Caenorhabditis elegans: one gene and its partners. The protein of the gene in region 4 interacts with the protein of the main gene of each other region in a pairwise test. Each region holds a gene or a part of one and is shown on either strand. Other genes may lie near its edges.

Region 1 (5,481 bases), on a different chromosome or scaffold from region 4:
TTTATTTGCACTCTGTTATAAATTTTGAAAATACTCAAATTGTGAAAAATTGTTATGATGCAAATTTTCCAAATAAAAAAAACTGAGAATGAATTAAATTTCTTTAATTTTGAAAAAAAAAATGTTTTTTCTCCAAAATTTCAATTAACCATCAAAAAAAGTTCAAAAAAATTTATTCAACATGATTAAAGTATAAAATCGTAAAAATTGGAAAGAAAAATGTGGCTATTACGCAAGTGGTTCAAGAGACAAAAAAAAAGTACAAAATATCGATAAAACAACACAGGAAAGCTCGTAAAATGTGTAAATCGAGTGTAAAATACAAAAAAAAAGAAATTTATAAACCAAAAAAAATTGAAAAAAAATCCGTAGTGTTCTGTGGTTATCCATTCCGAGTCATGGAAGGATATGCTATACAGATAATTAATATTTTGAGGCGGGGGCGGGGGGGGGGGGGGGGTATTCTACATTATAAAAAAAAATTAGAACAAAATATAGTTTTTTTTTCAGAAAAAAAATCCAAAAAAAAAATTTTTTTAATTTTTAAATTTTTTAAAATGTTCTGATTGTAAGGGGATTTTCAACTGAATTTTTTAAGCTTTTCATCACATTTTTGAAGAAAAAAATCAAAAATAATTTTATTACGTTTACACTGTGCATATCTAGTCGTACTCGAGATCAGAATTTTCCAACTCATTTGGGTGGCGCCTGAAAAAAAATCAGTTATTAGTTTTTTTTTTTTTTAATTAAATAGATTAAAATTGGCTTATTGAAAAAATGTGTTTTTTTTGTAATTTTTAAATATTTTCAAACATTTAAACTTGAATTTAAAGTTTTTAAATACAATTCTCACCTCTGTGGAGTATCTATTCGGCTAATAGTGACGTTGATTCCAAGGTTTCCGTTTTCTGAAAAAAAAAGTTGATTTTTGTTGAGGGTAACTTTTAAAGTTTATATTCCGGAACTGACAAAAATTTTGCTACTAAAGGTCGATGCACCATATCTCGCCCAACTTTAAAAACTTTTCAAAAAAACCTCTGCGGATTTCGGTTTTTATTTTTATTTTTTAATAGACACTTTGTTAATATCTTCAAAAATTGACCGAGTTTATCAATCTTAGAAATTTTTGGTCGATGCACCATGTTCAAAGGAAACTTAATTTTTTTGGATTTCTGGTTCTATCGAAAAAGTTCCAACTCACAAAATATTTGTTCTCGTGTTTTATATAGTTTAGCGGTTACATTTTTGTTAGCATTCACACACTTAACCGGGGTATCGGCTGTTAAAACTATTTCGGTCGATGCACCATGATGCACTCAACTATTCCAGCTGTATCCCTTGTCTAACAAAGTTACCAAAAAAATTGTCAACTCACAAAAAAAGCTGTTTTTGCTCAGTTTTAACAAAAATTGAAAGCTCAGTTTTAACAAAAATTGGTAATTTCCGATTAAGATAAAAGCAAAAGTCAATGCTCACCTGCAAAAAGCTGTGCAGCATTTGAATCGAACGCTAGGCAATCCGACTGTTGAATGGCCACTACCACCCCCTCGTGGATGCTTCTCGGTGTGGCTTCCCATGACATTCTCCGGCGGCTCGCCGATAGCTCAAGCCGGTACACAAAGTTATCAGCTTCCTTCTTCGAGCCAATCAGCTGAACGACTGCGTAGAACATCTGAGTTGGCTGAGCTGGATCGTACTTTTCCTGCTTCTCGAGCACCAACATAAAATTATAGTCAAAGCAGCTCTGCATCATAACCCAGTCAACTGCTCCAGGAAGATTGATGTCAGTGGCCAGGAAGACGATATCCTCGCCTTGAAGCGTCGTGATGCTCTTGTGGATCTTCTTCAAATGCTCCATCACATCCGACAAGCCTCCCTGCCACTTGCAGCTAGCTCCAGGGCACGGGCAGCAGTAGGGTCGGAATTCGCAGAGCTCCTCGTGCTCGGTCTTATCAGCGTGATGGAAGTTCAGGGGGCAGCCGGACGTAGAGAATTTGCATGGAAAGCGGACGGTGTTGGCGATCTTCTCGAGGCCCAGGTTGCGGACAGAAGCTGTAAGATTGAAGGTTTAGTCTTGAAATTTGAGATATACTCTGAAACTTTGAAGATCCGTAGATCCTTGATTCGTTAGCTACATTAGAGAAACAACACAGCTAAAATGCTTAGGCGCTCGACTGAGACAGATCGATCAACCAGAAAGGATCTTAGTCTTCTATCATATCAGCTCTGCTCAAGCTGTGGTAATTTTTTCAGCTTTGACTAAACTCTTCTAGTCACGCAATTTTCAAATTTCAACTTCAAAACTCACGAGTTGGACCCCGACAAGTCGGGCAGCACTGAAGCTTTGGTCTGCAGTTCGAGCAGACAAGATGTCCGGATGAGCACTGCATGTATGGTGGCAGCATGTACTCCAGGCATACCGGGCACTCAAACACCGACAAGATCTCTGCACTGCTGTCGTCGGTGGCTCCACCGCCGCCGATTGGAATATGTGGTGCGACGCTTTGGATTCCTTGCGCGGTCGTCGTTGTGTTGTGCGGTACTGGAAAATTTTACATTTTAGCGTTACAGTTCTGAAAATCAAGAAAAACTCACTACTTCCCGGGGGATTACTCTGAACTCTGGCCATCGTTTTGCCAAGCACTGCGGTTCCAGAGATTGTTGACACTGCAGACGGTGGCGATGCCGACATCCGAGGTGTCAATCCGATTTGACATTGCTGTTGTGTGATGCCTGGCGGGACCGGTGGAGGGTTGCCTGGAAAGTAAAATTTAATGGTGCTAGTTCTGGGCTCCAAGATATAGTTTCACACTTACTTCGCTCATTGAGCCAATTTTCAATACACTCAATAATAAGCGCATTCACTACGCAGCAGCAAGAACGCATGTGGGGGAAAATGCGATCATCATGAAGCGAGCGAGCTCTCCGAGAGAGTTTTCAGCAGGTATATAAAAACTAGGGAGGGGCTCCGAAACACCGCTTTACGATGCATATGTCGATTATAACACAGAGATAGAATAGCGAGTTTTCTCTCGGGGGTGGGAGTAAAGAGGAAATGTTGAGTGACTTTAATTGGTGTCGTTTTGGATGTGGGGGGGGGGACTAATGACTGGTGAGCACGCATGGTTGGAGAAAGCAGGGGATTTGGGCTCCGGCTTAAAGGTTTGGCTGGCTGAAGGTAGTGGTGTGTCGGAAAAATCACGTGGTGTCAGAAAAAACCCCTGCCATCACGGTTTGATCTACAAAAAACGCGGACTTTTTTTGCGTAAAACTTTCTTAAGCCAAATAAAATGAGAACTATGCGTCTCAACTCGTGCATTTTTTGTAGATCTACGTAGATCAAACCGAAATAGGACATTCTGGCACCAAGTGAAATGCTGAAACAGTGATCTTTTAATCATGTCTCAATTAATAATACTCAATAGAAATTCAAAAGCCGACTCTCTTGATTCCGTTGGACAATTAAGTCCTTTCTTTAATTTTGGGCCGTTTCTAAGTTTCGGGGATGAGCAGGCTTTCAAACAAGACTCAAAGTTTTCAAAAAAGTCTCACCATTTGAGTGATTAACCATATCTTCGACTAAAGAATTGCTAGTCTGATGTCTGGATAGATGATTCGCTTGCGGAGCCGAATCGCTACTATTATTATCGTCCTCCTCAAAGATGAGCTGTGTACGACGAAGAGACTCGATCACGTCCTGATAGTCTCCTCCTCCTCCACCACCGTTCCGATTACTCATCAGCGAAGGCAGTCGAGATGACGAGGACGACGATGTTGGAGGTGGTGGGTGGTTCGGTGTCTGCGGATGCCGCCGTCTTCCCGTCGTCTCTGTAATTGGTGAGTTGGTGATAACGAATTGTGAGTGTTTTGTTGTTGTCACGTGAGAAATAGTCGCTGGAGGTCAAATTGTGAGGAATTACGAAGAGAGTAAAGTTTTTAGAATAGGTTTGTTGAATCAGGAGTGGCACGGGGTCTCACATGGTCCCATTACGATTTGATCTACAAAAAATGCGGGAATTTTTCGCCCAAAAAATGTGACGTCAGCACATTGTTAACCATTTGAAATCAGTTGGGAACTCTTCGTCTCAACTCCCGCATAGTTTGTAGATCTACGTAGATCAAACCGCAATGAGCCACTTTGACACCACGTGGCAATTTTTTTCCGGCAAATTGCCGATTTGCCGTTTGCCGGAAATTTTTAGAGGGATTTTTTAATAAGACGGAAGCACTTGAAACAGTGTCATTTTGAAAGTTTTTTTTTCCCGTTTTCTTTAGATACATTCATTGAACTTGCTTACTTTTCAAAATAGATGTAGGAACATTCATAGGATGCGTACAATTTTGCCAATTTAAATTAAATTTCTAAAATTTCCAGAAAAAAATGTGGAAAACCACAATTTGCAGAAAAATGTTTGTGAAAATTTTTTGCCGGTTTGCAGTTTTGTCGGAAATGTTCATTTTCGGTAAATTACCGGGAAAGTTGTGCAAAAAAAACAACTGAGGCTCAAATTTTTTAATTAAAGATTTACTAGGAAATTTTGAAAATTTTATATTAAAATTTGAAAATAATCGCCTAAAATCAATGCAATCAAGAACAAAAGATGAGAGATGGGCTAGGAAAATCAATAAGATAAGTAAGGGATAAGGTCCGATTTTCATGAACTTGAATACCTAGTATAGATACTAGATTCAGTAAAACGTGATTGCAAACTATTTGAATAAGTGACTTTCTAAAAATGGAAATTTGAAACATTCAAAAAAAAATGTAATACATTCACAAAAATCACTGAAAAGTTAAATTATGGTTATCTTAAACGAAATAGTGATGAAATCCATGAAGAAAGTGGTAATTTTTTCGGGAAGTATCAATTTTAAGGTTCTATTGTCCACACAGACACTTTATAAATCAAGTCGCAAGCAGAGAACAACAACAAAATCTGGCAAAAGAAAACAACTTTACTATTCGCTTTTTTTTAGCTTTCTCTAAATAATATTTTCAAAACCTAACAAAAGGATTAAAACCCTCAAATTCGACGATTACTTTGCATAAATACACAATAGAAATACGAATAAGAGAGTGAATAAAACGAAGAAAAGAGGCGAAAGGAAGAAAAATATGAAATAAAACGCGTTCTGTGTGCGTACTCTCTCTCTCTCTTTCTCTCTTTCACATCTTTTCACCAACGAATGACTGACCGGGATAGTGTGGGTGGTGGAAGAGACGACAGAGAGACCGACGACGAGATGTGTGGGCTTGTAAGAGAGTCTCTGTGTTTCTCTACCAGCTGACATGCGAATGAGAATGAATCAAATCGATTTTTGAAGAGAGAGAGAGAGAGAGAGAGAGAGACGGTTGGAGGGAAGGGATGGTGAGAGCGATTTTATATGAAAGGCGTATCAGGCACCAATAACCTTTTTAAAGTAAAATTTCAAAAATTGATGGTCATGCACTGTTGGTCATATGGAAAGATCAGCTGTTAG
Region 2 (4,799 bases), on a different chromosome or scaffold from region 4:
CGAATCCGATTTAGACAAGCGTGTGTGCGCACAAAACGATTTCATCTGAATTGGCTCCAATCGGGGTCGATTTATAGAGCGGAGAGGAGGTCGCACCATTTCATCAACTTCTTCCGTCGTCCAACCGTTCACAGAATTTAGGTCATCGCGAGCCGAAAGTGCGGGTGTACGTCTTTGCGGCCTCGACGGGTGACTTTACGGAGATATGCATTCGCTCCTTGGACATGAAGAAGGAGAAAGTCATGGATTGGAATAATATGCGCTACGGAGGAGTGAGAAAGATCACGGAGACGACTAATGCGCACTGTGCGCGAATGTTCCCATAATACCATAAACTCAGAGAGAAAAGACGACACGGATACTCTAACAGGATCTTCGGAACATTTAGTAATACGTTACTTTGAGTTAAAAAGAAAACGATAGCACATTTTTTAACTTTTCAAAAAAAACTCAAAACAACGAAAAAAATTCTACTCGAGTACTTTAACTGCTTAATTAGTCGATAATTTTTTGAAAACCATTCAAAAATTCTTCTAGATTTTGAGCAATACTTCCTACCATAAAATCTCAGAATGACGTATCCCAGGTCAAAACTTTAGAAGACCCTTTCACTCTCACTTCACATAATGCACAATTTGACCTTATTTCGGACACTCACTGGGCGAAATCGCGTGAGAATGAATTGGAGTCAAGAGCGTCTTGTAGAAGTGAACAAAGAATTAAGAAATAAGAAGGAGTTTCATTTTATAAGTACGGATAGTCAATGAGTGGAAGCAATGAGGACTCGTAAAGACGATTATTGTAATAAGGGGATAAAGAGTCTATACTATAGAAAAAAGAGAAGTCTGCAGACTTAAGGTTAAGTGTAGTGACGGAAAAGTGAAAAGTCGTATCAAAAAAGATGCACAATGATACCGTCAGACTGACGATGTGCTCGATTTTTATGGCTTCGGCTCCACCGGCAATATTTGCATACACCACACACACACACACACACACACACACACACACACACACACACACATTCTAAGCATTGTGCTGCGGTTTTATAATATCGGACACCTTACCACCCGCTTTCAAACCGGGATGCTTAGAAGGTGATAGAAGAAATGGTGTTAACAGCGCTCACACAGTTTTGTTGTTGGTTGCGCTCGCCGGGGCACACGACAACGGCGACAACGACGCGACGAGTACAGTTTTGTCAGTTGTGTGCATTGTGCATACAGGCGCTCAATACCCGGTATGGGAGAAAGAGAAAGGGATGGGAGAAGACGATGATGGAGAACAGGAGGTATGTACACTTCGGACGATGCTGAAAGTGAGGCAGGCGCCAACGCGTTCTATTATGAGCTCGTACAGGCAAAAATGTATTCGTAGAATAGAAGAAAAAGAAAGACATTGTGATGAAATATAGATTATTCAATTACAAGATTAGTTCGGACAGAAATACCAGAACTAAATGGAATTTTAATGTTTCAGGAAAATTATTGATTAATTTATATTTTTAGTTATTGTCGCTAATGATTTTAGAATTTAGATTTAAAAAATCTCGATAAATGAGCAAACCTGTCAAATGCGAAAATTAACCAATTTCCAGTATCAAATATAGAAATATTTCGAAAAAGGGTAGAGGATGATACTGAGAGAAAGAAAACGGACGGTTGCTCCGTGAACAGAAACATTCAAATCCTCCGTTCAACATATACTATCTCTCGTCGATGAAAGTAGCATCACCGTGTTGCTCGCATAAATGGAAAAGGGAACAGAGCGAACAAAAAATACGGACGCCGATGCAGCAGTTGGCTGCAGCTCTTGCTTCCTTTCTGCACATTTATGAGAGCGCCACGACGATTGATTTCATCGATCTCTTATGTACAGGAGAAGCACCGAAAAAAGGAGCTATATATGTCGAATTCGAAATGAGCATCGTGCGAAAGAAAGAGCTTGGAATTGAGAGATCATTGATAGAGTAGAGGTTTTAGGAGAAATATAAAAAAAATGTTTGCAGTGATGTTCAAGCTAGTCTATACTTCAAAAATCTGATTTCTAAGAGAATAGAAGTTATAGGTTATGTTGAATCCCTACATTTTAGGATCAAGGGTGTCGCTTTTTCGGTTTTTTTTGTTGGAAATTCAACAAATTTTGGTTTTTTGATTTTTCGAAATTTCTCAAAAATTGCTCGAAATTTCAGCGCCTGGGCTTTTTTTAGAAGGAAATTATATTTTCTTTTGTGTTTTATATTCAACAAAATTAAATTTTGATTTTTTTTTCGGAAAACCAAAAAAGTTCGTTTTTCGATTATCTCTCAAAAAAATTGGCATTTTTAGACAAAAAAACTAAAAAATTTATTTTTCGAAATTTATCAAAATTTAACAAAAATTGCTCAAAAAAAAGTTAGATTTTCGATTATTTCTCAAACAGAAAAATTGACATTTTTTAAAAGAAATCCTTGGTTAGCATCAGACCGCACTTTTTTTCGGATTTTGGAAGAGCGAAAAAACGGAAAAAATTTGTTTTCGATTTTCAGAAAAAAAGTTTTTATTGATTTTCAATTACACTTAAAAAATTGTAAAGTCCAAAAAAAATAATAAAATCTCGGTTACTTGTTTGAAAAAAAACTTTAATCAACTTAAATTTTGAATTCCGTATAAGAAAAGTGTTTTCAAATTTTTTTTCGATTTTTTCTTTAAAAAAAAAACGGAATTTTTCGTTTTTTTTTCAAAAGTGAATTTTTTTGGATTTTCTCAACAAAAAAAACCGACAATTTTTTCAGCGGCACCCTTGTTTAGGAAGTCGATTCGAATAATTAGGGGATACCAATGGTTAATATGGACCGAAAAAGGAATCAGAGGTACAATTGGAAGTTCTATGCAAAGTTTCAAACCAGAGAAAATGAGTAAATCAATATTTTAGATAATTTTTATAAATAAAAAAACTCACGCAATAACTGAGAAGATCGATCGTTGCTGCATCATCGTTCAGTTCGATGACCACAAATTTCGGCATCCCGGCCGGGTTCGAATCGTACGAAGACGACACCTATGTATATTATTTATATTATTAGGAATTACAAGAGCACGATAAAGATATTCAGAAATAGAAATAACTATTTAAATAAGAAAAAAGAAATTACCACAAATAATAAAAAGACCGACGATTTTATTGAAAATCGAGTAAGAACAAAATTTGCGTTGTAAAACTTAAAATTAAAAGAAAATATTATAAATATCAACGAAAAAAATTTAAAGAAACTATTAAATTTTTGCTTCTTTTCCATATTGATGATTCGGGAAACACTTTGCCATTGTATCCAGCCATTCTTTTCGTACTTCTGGTGTTCTGAAAAAAATTGACTTTGTAAGATTTTTTTATTTTGGAATGAAACGAATTAAATTCAGTTTTCAAATGGACATCGTCTGAATTGGATTTTATTCAAACATTTTTAATTTTTTTTAATGGAGCGATCTTGCGACAGAATTGAATTTAAAAAAAAAATTAAATATGCTCTTTTGAAACATTTTTAGTCTAAAATATGATCTAGAAAAAAAAATTTCTAAAATTTACATTTTATTCAAAATTTCAAATCTATTTTTGCGGGTTTATGCCAAAAATAAATTTTTGGCTTATCCTCACATTTGGATAAAATTACCATTTTAAATAGAATGGAAAAAAAAAATCTTGCGGTGCAGCTGCAACATTAGTAGCAATTTTCGTAATTTATAAAACAAATTGCGTACATTTTAAAATAATTATACAATTAAAACAGAAACCGGCTTTCATGCTTTTCGAGTGAGATTAGATAAAAAAAAATAATCTCAGTGAATTAGTGATTCAACTAAAAAAGAGCTGTCGCACAATTTTTAAAATCTTTAAAAAATAATTTTTTTAAAATTTTTTAAATTCAAAATAAAAACTCACATCATATTCACAGGTTCGTGTTCCGAATTGTGTTGTGATTGTCCGTGCTGCTTTACACGAACTTTTCGTACAGCTTGATATGGACATTGGGAACATTTGAATGGTTTATGAGTGGAGTGTTTCATCATTACGTGTTCAAAGAAATTCCATTTAGAACCACCAGAATTCAGGCGAATTCCAATTCCACAAATCTCACAAATCGCTGTGACTACATCTCCACAAACACTTCCAGAACTTCCACATGATTTCATTCGTTTTGGAGATGGGGAAACTTTTCCAAAAAGTGCCAAACCAGTCCGTATAGCTTCAGTTGCTAGTTGTTCTTCCAATTCAGCAGTTTGTTCATCAACTTCTTCACTAAATTCATCATCTTCGTCATTGCAAGGTTCCAGTTTAACTTCTACATCAACACGTTCCACTCTGAAATTGAAAAAAAATTATGAAATGAAAATTCTAATTTATTAATTCTACCTGCTCTTGATTGAATTCGTCATGTCCAATTGTGATACAGGGGAAACCGGCAATTCTTTGTTAGTTGGTGGAATTGGTGTTGACCAAAATGGTGTTCCATCTCGAGAAATCTCATCTGTTTCAGGTTCATGTTCATAGTTGGAATATTCTACCGTATCGAGTCTAGGCGCTCGAGGTATACCTGAAAAAACGGTTAAAATGTTTTATTTAATTTAAATAACAGCTGCAATTAAATTAATGTGATAATTTTCTGATGAGAAATAGGAAAATTGTTAGTTTCATCTCTCAATTTCCGTTTTTCGGTCATTTTTTAAATTTTTTAAACGAAATTTCTTCTTTTTTTAGTGAATCTAATTTTCTCGTTTTTGTTTCGTTTTTTAATCGATTTTCCGAAATTCGAAAAAAATCCG
Region 3 (4,759 bases), on a different chromosome or scaffold from region 4:
TAGACACCGCAATCGATCTGGTGACAATTGGCTTTTGAACCTGATGTGTTGGACTTGGGCTTCCATTTGACAGGGGTTTTACTGGTTCGAACTGGAATTTTTCAAAGTTTTATAATACAGTTTTGTAGAAAAATTAATGCTGATAATTTTTGCAGTTGGAATTTTTTTCCTAGCTATCACGGTTTTTGAGATAATCGCAATTTAAAACTGGGTGAAAGTGGCGCAGTGGCTAACATGGATGCCTGGGACTCAATCGGTGCAAAAAGTGCTCAGTTCAAGGTCGGGCTTTAACAAAACTTTTTTGCATACTGAAATCAAGCTGGGAACAGATTTTCACACAATTTTAACAATTGTTAATAAATTTTTGAAATAGTTGGAAATTCTACAATTTTCAAAAAATTAATATATAGAAAATTTTACGCTGATCCTTTTTGCAGTTGGAAGCTTTTCTCCAGCTATCACGGTTTTCGAGATAACCGCATTTTAAATTAGGGTAGAAGTGGCGCAGTGGCTAACACGGATGGCTGGGACTCAATACGTGCAAGAAGTGCCAAGTTCGAGGCCGGGCTACGGCAAACATTTTTTACATTTTTTTCAATGCCAAATTGTTACAGAATTTTTTTCAAACCATTATTAAGTGAGGAATTTTGAATTTTTTTTTGAAAAAAAAAATCTTACCGCTGAAGCAGGAGCTTGTGGCGGTGGTGAAGTGCTTGTGGATTGTGTCCTTGCAAGCACTTTCTGCCCGTTTTGAGTTTGTGCATATGTGAAATGGCTTTCAACATCGATTGATGGCCCGGCTTGAAGTCCACGCTGTAAACTTTTTACATAAGTTTTTCCTCAATTTTTCTGCAAAACCTACCCTCGGCAACTTTGGCGACGCTGAGAAAAACCGTCTCGAGTGGTGCTCTTGCTCGGGTGGAAGAGCAAATTCTCTGCCACGCCGGAGGCTTGCAAAGTCCCCGGGACCTGTTGAGGGGGCGGTGGAGAATCCACGTGGCAAGTCACCTAAAACAATAAAAAATGTTTAGCCACTGCCGGGGTCGAACCCATGACCCTTTGCTCAGATGACACCCAAAATCGCACTGCGCCATTTGGGCATTTTTTTTAAATTTGAGTTTTTTGAAATTTTTTAAAATATACATTTCAAAGATAATTGTTTTTTTTAATTCCAGAGATAAATTTCAATGTTCAGCCTCTTAATTTACCTTGAGACGGAGCCCTTCTAAAGGTAGGCGTAGGCGTCGGAGGTAGGTCATCATATCGATTATTAGCGAATCTTGACGGCGTCACGTGTCCATTATTTTGTTGATGAAGTCCCAAGTCAATTGGGGTCCCGACACGACTGTCTGGGAATGGCGACTCGGCGTTGCGAGCCCGGATCTCGGAGATTGTCTTGGCAAGCGCGGTGGAGTAGCCTGAAATTTTCTATAGTTAAAGTGATAAGATAGAAAATTTTATTCTGAGCATTTTTGCAGTTGGAAGCTTTTCTCTAGCTATCACGGTTTTCGAGATAATTGAAAAATGATATTGGGTGGAAGTGGCGCAGTGGCTAACACAGATGCCTGGGAATCAATCGGTGCAAAAAGTGCCAAGTTCAAGTCCGGGTAGTGGAGAATAATTTTTGTAGAGCCTAAGTATACTGGAAACAACTTTTTTGTTACGGAAAATGTAACTTTTGCCAGATCAAACATTTTCTCAAGTTTTGAAAATTTCAACAATTTGTTCGAAAGGAAATTTTACGCTGATCATTTTTGCAGTTGAAAATTTTTCGCTAGCTATCACGGTTTTCGAGATAATCGCAATTTTAAACTGGGTAGAAGTGGCGCAGTGGTTAACACAGATGGCTGGTGCCCAATCGCAGAAAAAAGTGGCAAGTTCGACCCCGGGCTCTGGCCAAATTTTTTTGCATTGTTATATCCATCTAAAAATTGTTTTTCAAAAACCTCACCATTTCCAGTGCCATTTGGAGCATTAAATCTCTGAGTTGGCGTGTTACTTCTGCTTCCACTAAACCCTAAATTGATCGGACGGCTTAGCGGAGGTGGTTTAGCTGAAAAATGTAAAAAAAAATTCAGTTTGGAGCTCAGAAAAAGTGCAAACCTTGCTCAAAATGTGCTCTTCTGGGAATTTCCGGTGGTCCTCTGCGATATGTGGTGTAGTCCGAGTTGTAGCCTCCTTGCATTCGGCTTCTGATGTCTTGGACCGTTTTTTTCTGAAAATTTGGAATTTGCAACTAACTTTTTGAAATTCTGATAATTTTTTATTGTCGCGTTGCGGTCGCGTCGCGGTTTTAAATTTTTTCAAGCTCACCTTCTCCACCTCCTTGTGTGGTGCCAGAACATCATCAAAATCGCTCATCAAATTATCCAAGGAGTCGCTGAAAATACTGTTATCCAGCAGTGGGGACATCAAATGTCGGTCTGCTCCATTGCCACGTAGTGTCATATTTGTCGGGGTGCCTGGAAAAGTACTTAATGGGCAATTTTTCAATGTTTCAGACTGATTTTCAAACTAAAAAGACTTAGAAAAAATTATTCGACCCTAGCCGGGATCGAACCCTGGTCATGTGCGTGGGGCCAAAATCCAAAATCCCACTGCGCCATTTGGCCGCTTTTCTCAAAATAGCTCAAAATTACCCGATTTTTCCAATTTTTAAACAGAAATATAGGTTTTAAACTATTTTAAATTTGTTTAAAATAGTTTTGAATAACAAATTTCACGTTTTCTACCACTTTTTAGAGTTTTCGCAAAAAACCTCACCTTGTCTCGACACAAATCCATTGCTAACATTCTGTGCGTAGGAAACGAATCCCAAATCGATATGATATCCATATGGACAACATTTGCACTTGTTCAACGAGTTATTATTCTGATTTTGGTCGCTTCCAGAAGATGGTGACGTCATTGAGTTCGGTGACACGTCACACGAGACCCCTGATGACGTGGAAGTGTCGTTTGGCGGGCTCCGCTTGACAATTGTGGCAGACGTTGAGGCGGAAGACATACTTCCGCCAATATCACGCATTTGTGATGGTTACCTGAAAAATTTTAAATTTTTTTGGGGGGGGGGGGGGGGGGAATGGAAGAAGTAGCAAAAATCGGAGTAGAAAATAAGAGAAAAATTTGAAAATTTGAAGAAAAGACATTAATTTGATGATGGGAGTATGTTTTTTTTAATAATAAAACTTAACAAAAAATTTTGACCCAGCGGGGGATCGAACCCCGGTCTTGTGGGTGCAGCCATAATCCCACTGCGCCATTGGGACACTTTTCAGAAAAATGCTCCAAAATCCAATTTTTTTGAAGATTCAAAGTTAAATTGCAATTTTCATAGTTTAAAACTCTCTAAAACTGTAAGTTAGGGAAAAAAGTGGACTATAAAACATTTTTTTCAAAAATAATTTTTAAAAAGTTTTAAAAAAACTCAGGAAAAGTTGCCCGAAAGTGATTTTCCAATTCAAAAATGGTTTCTACATTACACATCAACAAAACAAAAAAAATTGTCCTCCACCGGGAATCGAACCCAGGTATTGTGCGTGGAGTCAAAAACCAAAATCCCACTGCGCCACTCGGACATTTTTTTGGAAAATGCTCAAAAATAACCGAATTTCAAAATTTCAAAAGGCAAATTTGAATTTCTCAACGTTCTAAGTACGATTTTCACATTTTCAATTAAAAAATCTCGCCGATAAACCGGAAAATATTCAAATTAAGCGGGAAAACTACAATTTTCGGGTAAAACTTGGCGCCTAAAAATGTGAAAAAAAAATATTCCTTGGAGAGAAAAAGATACGTTCTTTCTTTACCCCCTCCTTACAATGAAATCATCTCGTCGTCAATTCAACTTGATTGATAGAAGGCGCGGCGCCAAAATGAGAAAAAGAGACATGAGACGAGAGGGAGAGAGACGCAGACACGTAGTGAAGGACGACTATTCTGATGATAAGGGTGTGGTTTGTCTCACTCATTATGCAAAAATTATTATTACATTTGTATATTTTAGGGTGGAAAAGAAAAATGGAAATTTACATTTCGGCGGAAAAATCCGAGAAATTTCGGTTTTCTTCTGTTAAAATTTGATACAAAACTAAAAACTGGACTAAAATCGTCTAAAACCCAAAATTTAACAACAAAAAAAATCAGTGATTTTGAGCATTTTTCTAAAAAGTGTCCGAGTGGCGCAGTGGGATTTTGGACTTCGGCTCCACGCGCAAGACCGGGGTTCGATTCCCACAAGGGTCTAATATTTTTGTTTTGTCGTTTTGTGAATGAAAATGTAAACAGAATTAATGAAACCCAGCAAAACTGCAGAAATTCTGTAAAAATATTGCCAATTTTCGGGTAAAAATACGCAACACAAAGAATTTCTCTACCCTTATCACAAGATGGGTGGTGATAAAGTGATGGGAGGTTAATTTAGTGATTATATCTGTGATATTGGGTCATTCATCATTCCATGGAAGAGATTGAACCGGAAATTCTACACAAGAAAGCGGAGAATGCGGATCAAAGTAGTGGAGTAAGGATGAATTGAGGAAAACTAAAAACTGCAGAAAAATACGAGGAAAATCGATTTTTTTTCGTAAGTCTGATGGTTTAAAAGACTTAAAAAGACCAATTAGAAAAAAATAAAAATATTTGACCCTAGCGGGGGGTCGAACCCCGGCCTTGTGAGTCGAGCCAAAATCCGAAATCCCACTGCGCCATTCGGACAGTTTTCAGAAAAATGCTCAAACAAGCTCAAAATTTCTAAAAA
Region 4 (5,575 bases):
AAACTTATTCGAAAAACAAGTTTTCTTTTTAAAAAATTTAAATTCTCGCGGACCGCATAATGCAAACGCGCCCCAATGAGAAAATAACTGGAAAATCGATTTTTCTTGTGATTTTCCAACAAAACCAACAATTTAAACTGTTATATTTATTTACCAGTTTTGCTAAAACCAAAAAAGTGCAATTTCGAACTAAAAATTCAAATTCCCGCGAAATTGCTGGAAAATCACGGTTCAGCGAAAATTTAAAAGGAATCGATAGAAGTTAATGTGAAAACAAGAGAAACAAGTTTTCCTATTGAAAATTCAAATTGGTATGTTGCAAATGCGCCCCAATGAGAAAATTGCTAAATTTTCAGGTTTTCACCACCAAATTTGTTGCAGAGTGTTCCCACAACAAAAAAGCAATGAAAAGCAGTGGAGGAAAAGCTCCCAGGAATCAATTCTCCCCGAAAACCTATAAAACTCAAATGAGCCACTTTAATTCCGTCTCATTTGATATCCCTGAGACGTAGACAGCCGCTGATTTTTATTTTTTAAAAAGGTTCAGAGGGGGGTAATCATGAGAAGAACGAAAAAAATTGGCGGCAAAACACAAAAAGAAATAAAAAAAAAATCGAAAAGAGACACACAAACAAGTCTATAAACTGTACGAGAGGGAGAGAATTAGAGAAAAATAAATTTTGCAACCAAAAAAAAAAAGACAATTCAGACATCCTCCCCCGAATCGGCTTTTCCCGAAATTGGTGTGCTAACAAATTTGTGACATTTCCCGTTTGGATGGGCCTCGTGGTACTTGGTCGGGTCGAATTGCGATACAATCAGCGAGATGAAATCCTTGGCGCTCTGGAAATTCAAATTTATATAAGGCTACAAGTGCGCTCTAATGCGAAACTCACCTCATTCTCGAGCATTTCCATAACCTCGGCGTGGGTGGTGGTGTTGGTCACGAAGGTCCCATCGATCGCCAAGATACGGTCGTTCACACGGAGCTGGAAATATGAAGTAGGGGTACTGTAGGGAGAGAGTACTGTAGGGAGAGGGATACTGTAGGGAGGGTGATGTAGGAATAGGGTACTGTTGAGAGAGGATACTGTAGGGAGTGGTACTGTAGGCAGGGGATACTACAGGGAGAGATACTGTAGAGAGCGGTACTGTAGGAAGGGGGTACTGTAGGGAGGGGGCACTGTAGAAATGGGGTACTGTAGGGAGAAAATACCGTAGTAAAGGAGTACTGCAGGGAAGGGCACATTAGGGAAGGGGTACTGTAGGAAGGGGTACTGCAATAAGGATGAACTGCTAAAAGAATACTATAGAGGACTGGTACAGTAGGGAGGCAGTACTGTAGGTAGGGGTACTGCTGGAAGGTTACCGTAGGAAGGGTACTGTAGGCAGGGGTACTGTAGTAAAGGAGTACTGGGGAAGGGGTACTGTAGGGAGGGGTACTGTAGAAGTGGGGTACTGCAGGCAGGGGGTACTGTAGTAAGGGTGTACTGTAGAAACGGGTACTGTAGAGAGAAATAACTGCAGTAAGGGGGTACTGTAGGGAGGGGTACTATAGGAAGGGAAAGGGTACTGTAGGAAAAGGGGTACTGTAGGAGTACTGTACCTGATCATCGTCCGCCATCGACCGCTTCAACTTCCCAGTGACCACGACCGGACGGAACTGATCACAACCTCCCTGAATAATTCCATTTCTTCAAATTTTTTGGCTTTTCGGCACCAACCGTAATCTCGAGCCCAAGCCCCTGATTGATATGCTCTCTCATGAGAATCACGAGCCGCGGAGAGCTCTGCCAATCGTCTCCGTTCTCAAATGCAGCATCACCAAGGTCCGACGAGTTGATCCTGGAAAATTTTTTGATGCTCCAACAAGTTCCCACAGAAATCCATCACCTACCGATTGATGAGCCAAAGCGTGTTGAGACGCAACAAGCGGTTCTCCTTCTCGATCTCGTCCCACAGTTTCGATTTGACGGCCGACTCGATCGTTGCCGCGTTGCGCACCAAATCCATCATCTGTCGCATTGCTGCCAGCTCCTGTAATGAGTCTCATGGGAAAGTGTGGGGAGGGGACATGATCATGTAAAAAATGATGATGCGTAGGGGCCAAAAATCTAGAAAAAAAGTGGGGGAAATGTCATGGTGCATCGACAAAATGTTTAGGCTGAAGCTTTGGCTTGGGTTTTGGCTTAGGCTTAGGCTTAGGCGTAGGCTTAGTATTAGGCTTAGGCTTAGGTTTAGGCTTATGCTAAAGCTTAGGCTGTGATCTAGGCTTACGCTTAGACCAAGGCTTAGGCTTAGGCTTACGCTTATGCCTAGGATTAAGCTCAGGCTTAAGCTTGGATTAAGGCTTAGGTTTGGGTGTAGGCTTTGGCTGAGGTTTAGGCTAGCAAAAAATGTGGCCAAAGTGGAAATCACCAATTTTTGGGTAACCAGAGCTACCTGAACCTCTACCCCACATGGTGCATCGACTAGGTAGAACCGTACCCTTGCGTAGAACCTGGTTGCCATGAGATGCATGACACTCTTCTTGGACACCTCATTGATATGCTTCGCCATCCGCTCGTTACGCCGCTTCTCCACGTTGAGCTTAGCCTCCACAAGACGGTGCTCCTGGATCCTTTCCATATTGTCACCGACTTCTTGTTTCTGAAATATTAAGCGTTGAAGTAGGCAGGTAGGCACGAAAGTGCCTGCCTGCCTAGTACTTGTAGGCACCTAGGTAGGTATAGGCAGGCAACATTCCCTCACCATATCATTGAAAATCTGCCTGGAAGTCGCGTCTCCCTGATGATTCGCGGCCAGCAACAAGTGGAACTGCTGGATGACGTCATCATGGGCTTCAGCTATGGCACGAAGCTCCACGAGCTCCTGGAGACACTCCTCACGCTCCTTGATTGCCAATTTCTTAGCGGATTCTTCACTGGCGGACAAAGTGCAAACCTGGAAAAATAGTTTGTGATAAATTAATAAATTATCGATTTTTCTCGTCATTGCCAAGTTTTCAATAACCGAGAAAAAGGAGTTTTGAAGTAACTATTGGAAACTTTTCAAATTCCCGCCACAGTTTTGTACCGGGATACCGAAAAGTCGATACATTATCGATTTTTTCTAAAATTTTTAAACTACCGCCCGACCGGGATTTTAAAGAAACTTTATACTAAACAAAATTCAAACCGTTTTTCGATATTTCGAGCCGGATAGCTAACAATTTTCACAAAAATCGATGATTTCTTACTGATTTTCAAAGCGAAATTTTTAAATTCCCGCCTGACCACGCCTACTTTTAGTCAGCGGAATATCGGAGTGTCGTTGGAGTGCGACGAAAAATCAATAATTTTTTGAATGACATTTGCCGGAAAACTGACATTTTTCCAAAAAATCAATATTTCTCCCAGAATTTTCAAATTCCCGCCCGACCGGAAGATCATATTACCTGCGTAAAAACATTCGAAATTGCCTTCAAATGGGTAATCCAGTCGTCCTTCTCATCGGAAGCCAGCGCCTTGGACATTGCCGTATTGAAGACAGCAGTAAGACGATTGATTTGTTGACACGTCATTTATTGATTTTTTTGCGGAAGAAAAATCGATAAACTCAAACAATAAAAGATTTTTATGCAAAAAGTTGGAAAAAGCCAAAAAAAAATCCAATGAGTTGGAGGAAATGACGTGGCAATTAGGGGGAGGAGGAAAGTCACGGGAAAATATACAAAAAAAAGTTTTTTTTTTGAAAAAAAAATTAAATAAAACCCGTCAAAAAATTCCACATTTTGGAGGTCACGTGCTGCGTGATTCATCAGAATTGTTGGACGATCGGCTTGACGTGGGCTCTTCCATACTGTAGAGGTTGTAGCTAAAACAAAAATTTAAAAATTTGACTGGGAATTCGAATTTTCTGTTGAAATTTGGCCGAAAATTTGAATTTCCCGTCGAAAAATTAACTAAAAGGTTGAATTTCCTATAGAAAAACGACAAAAAATTGGAATTCCCCGCCGAAAAATTCATTAAAAAGTTGAATTTCCCCCAAAAAATAGGCTGAAAAATTGAATTTCTTGCCGAAAATAGACAGAAAATTTAGAATTTTTTGTCGCAAATTGACTAAAAATTTGAATTTCCTATAGTAAAACGACAAAAAATTTGAATTTTCTATTGAAAAATGACCAAAATTTTGATTTTCCAGTTGAAAAATTAACTAAAAAATTAAATTTCCAGTTAAATGTTAACTGAGAATTTGAATTTCCTCCCTAAAACTGACTTATAACTTGAATTTCTAGCTCAAAATCAATTGGAAATTTAAAAATCCCGCCTAAAATTAACTGGCAATATGAAAATCCCGCCAAAAATTAACAGAAAATCAAAATTTCCAGCTGAAAATCGATTGAATATTTAAATTTCCCGCTAAAAACTAACTGGAAATTCAAATTTCCCGCCGAAAAATTCCCAATAACTCACATAGATCCATCGCTGTGCTCGATCGTCACCGTCCCATCATCATCACTATCCTCATCGGGGCACACAAAGACGAGCTCCAGGTCTAGGTCGCCTTGCTGTACCTGGAATTTGGAGGGGATGTAGGTGGAGGGCCCCTGGCAGCATCTTACCTGCCCACTCAAAATATCCACTGCCTCCTGATGCTTGACAGTCCGAAGATCGTAGCCGTTTACTGAGAGAATCGCGTCGCCCACAAAGACCTGTCCACATCGGTCAGCAGGCTGTCCCGGCTGGATTTCAGATATCACTATGGGTAGAGCGTGTTCGGATCCTCCCTGGAAATGGATTTTAGGATCCAGTAGGATTTTTTAAGATCTTGAAGAACTAGGATCCATCCGGAGCTCCGCAAACTATCTGGAGTAGTTTTGAGCTATGCAGCAGAACTACAAAAGCAGGGGTTGTCAGAGTGTCTCATTTTAGATTGATCTACATTGATCTACAAAAAATGCGGGAAAAGAGACGCAGACTTTTCAACTGACTGGGAGAAAAATTCCCGCATTTTTTGTAGATCAAACCGCAATGGGACAGCCTGACACCACGTGCAAAAGTACCTCATAATCAGATGGCACATTTGGTCTTACGGGAACTGGATCAACTCTCAGATCTTACAGGATCCCGTGGATCCCCAAAGGAACAAGTCTAGTCAATGATCTACTGGCCCAAAACCATCCAAGTCCCCCCACCTACCGTAATAGAAATGCCGAGCCCTTCGTGCGGGTGTTTCGAGAGCACCACTTTCCTGCTCTTTCCCACTCCATTTCGTTTTCGGAGGCTCTTGAAGTTGTGACGAAGTGGCGCCGTTAATCCCTTCGTGTTACCCCGTCCTCTGCAAGAATGGCAAATTGTTCAAGTGGGGAGCGGCCATGGGAAACGTGACCGCCTACCTGCAAGCCCGGATCACTGTCTTGTGCCTGTGGAGGTGAATTTCGGCTTCCAGCTGGTTCCAGAGCCTGTCGTGCTCCACGCCGCGCATGTTTCGTCCCAGGAGCTGGATTTGTTGTATCCGGCCTGCGAGTTCCTGGAAGATTAGGGTATGTAAAGCCTTGAAGCCTTAAAGCCTTAAAGCCCGATGGCCTACCTTA

What was found.
Region 1: the proteins of ZK849.1 (region 4) and siah-1 interact in a two-hybrid assay, tested with the Caenorhabditis elegans proteins (one large-scale study listed by BioGRID).
Region 2: the proteins of ZK849.1 (region 4) and lir-1 interact in a two-hybrid assay, tested with the Caenorhabditis elegans proteins (one large-scale study listed by BioGRID).
Region 3: the proteins of ZK849.1 (region 4) and vab-19 interact in a two-hybrid assay, tested with the Caenorhabditis elegans proteins (one large-scale study listed by BioGRID).

What each region holds. Positions count from the first base shown.
Region 1 is NC_003282.8:3,742,395-3,747,875, reverse strand, and holds siah-1 (E3 ubiquitin-protein ligase siah-1), read right to left. Parts: upstream 3,829-5,481; 5' UTR 3,740-3,828; coding exon 3,553-3,739; intron 2,758-3,552; coding exon 2,596-2,757; intron 2,543-2,595; coding exon 2,309-2,542; intron 2,053-2,308; coding exon 1,477-2,052; intron 909-1,476; coding exon 854-908; intron 709-853; coding exon 663-708; 3' UTR 525-662; downstream 1-524.
Region 2 is NC_003280.10:7,670,250-7,675,048, reverse strand, and holds the start of lir-1 (LIn-26 Related), read right to left. Parts: upstream 3,045-4,799; 5' UTR 3,007-3,044; coding exon 2,941-3,006; intron 186-2,940; exon of another isoform or gene 50-185; intron 1-49. Other genes in the region: lir-2 (C2H2-type domain-containing protein), read right to left, coding at 3,255-3,339, 3,919-4,338, 4,390-4,570.
Region 3 is NC_003280.10:2,441,561-2,446,319, reverse strand, and holds the start of vab-19 (ANK_REP_REGION domain-containing protein), read right to left. Parts: upstream 3,042-4,759; 5' UTR 3,029-3,041; coding exon 2,764-3,028; intron 2,463-2,763; coding exon 2,314-2,462; intron 2,216-2,313; coding exon 2,104-2,215; intron 2,054-2,103; coding exon 1,952-2,053; intron 1,419-1,951; coding exon 1,209-1,418; intron 1,009-1,208; coding exon 863-1,008; intron 814-862; coding exon 679-813; intron 92-678; coding exon 1-91.
Region 4 is NC_003279.8:14,182,082-14,187,656, forward strand, and holds ZK849.1 (PDZ domain-containing protein), read right to left. Parts: upstream 3,627-5,575; 5' UTR 3,515-3,626; coding exon 3,437-3,514; intron 2,944-3,436; coding exon 2,752-2,943; intron 2,650-2,751; coding exon 2,488-2,649; intron 2,038-2,487; coding exon 1,898-2,037; intron 1,846-1,897; coding exon 1,725-1,845; intron 1,679-1,724; coding exon 1,607-1,678; intron 990-1,606; coding exon 897-989; intron 844-896; coding exon 706-843; 3' UTR 514-705; downstream 1-513. Other genes in the region: gopc-1 (Golgi-associated PDZ and coiled-coil motif-containing protein), read right to left, coding at 3,780-3,855, 4,455-4,555, 4,604-4,768, 5,181-5,319, 5,378-5,511, 5,572-5,575.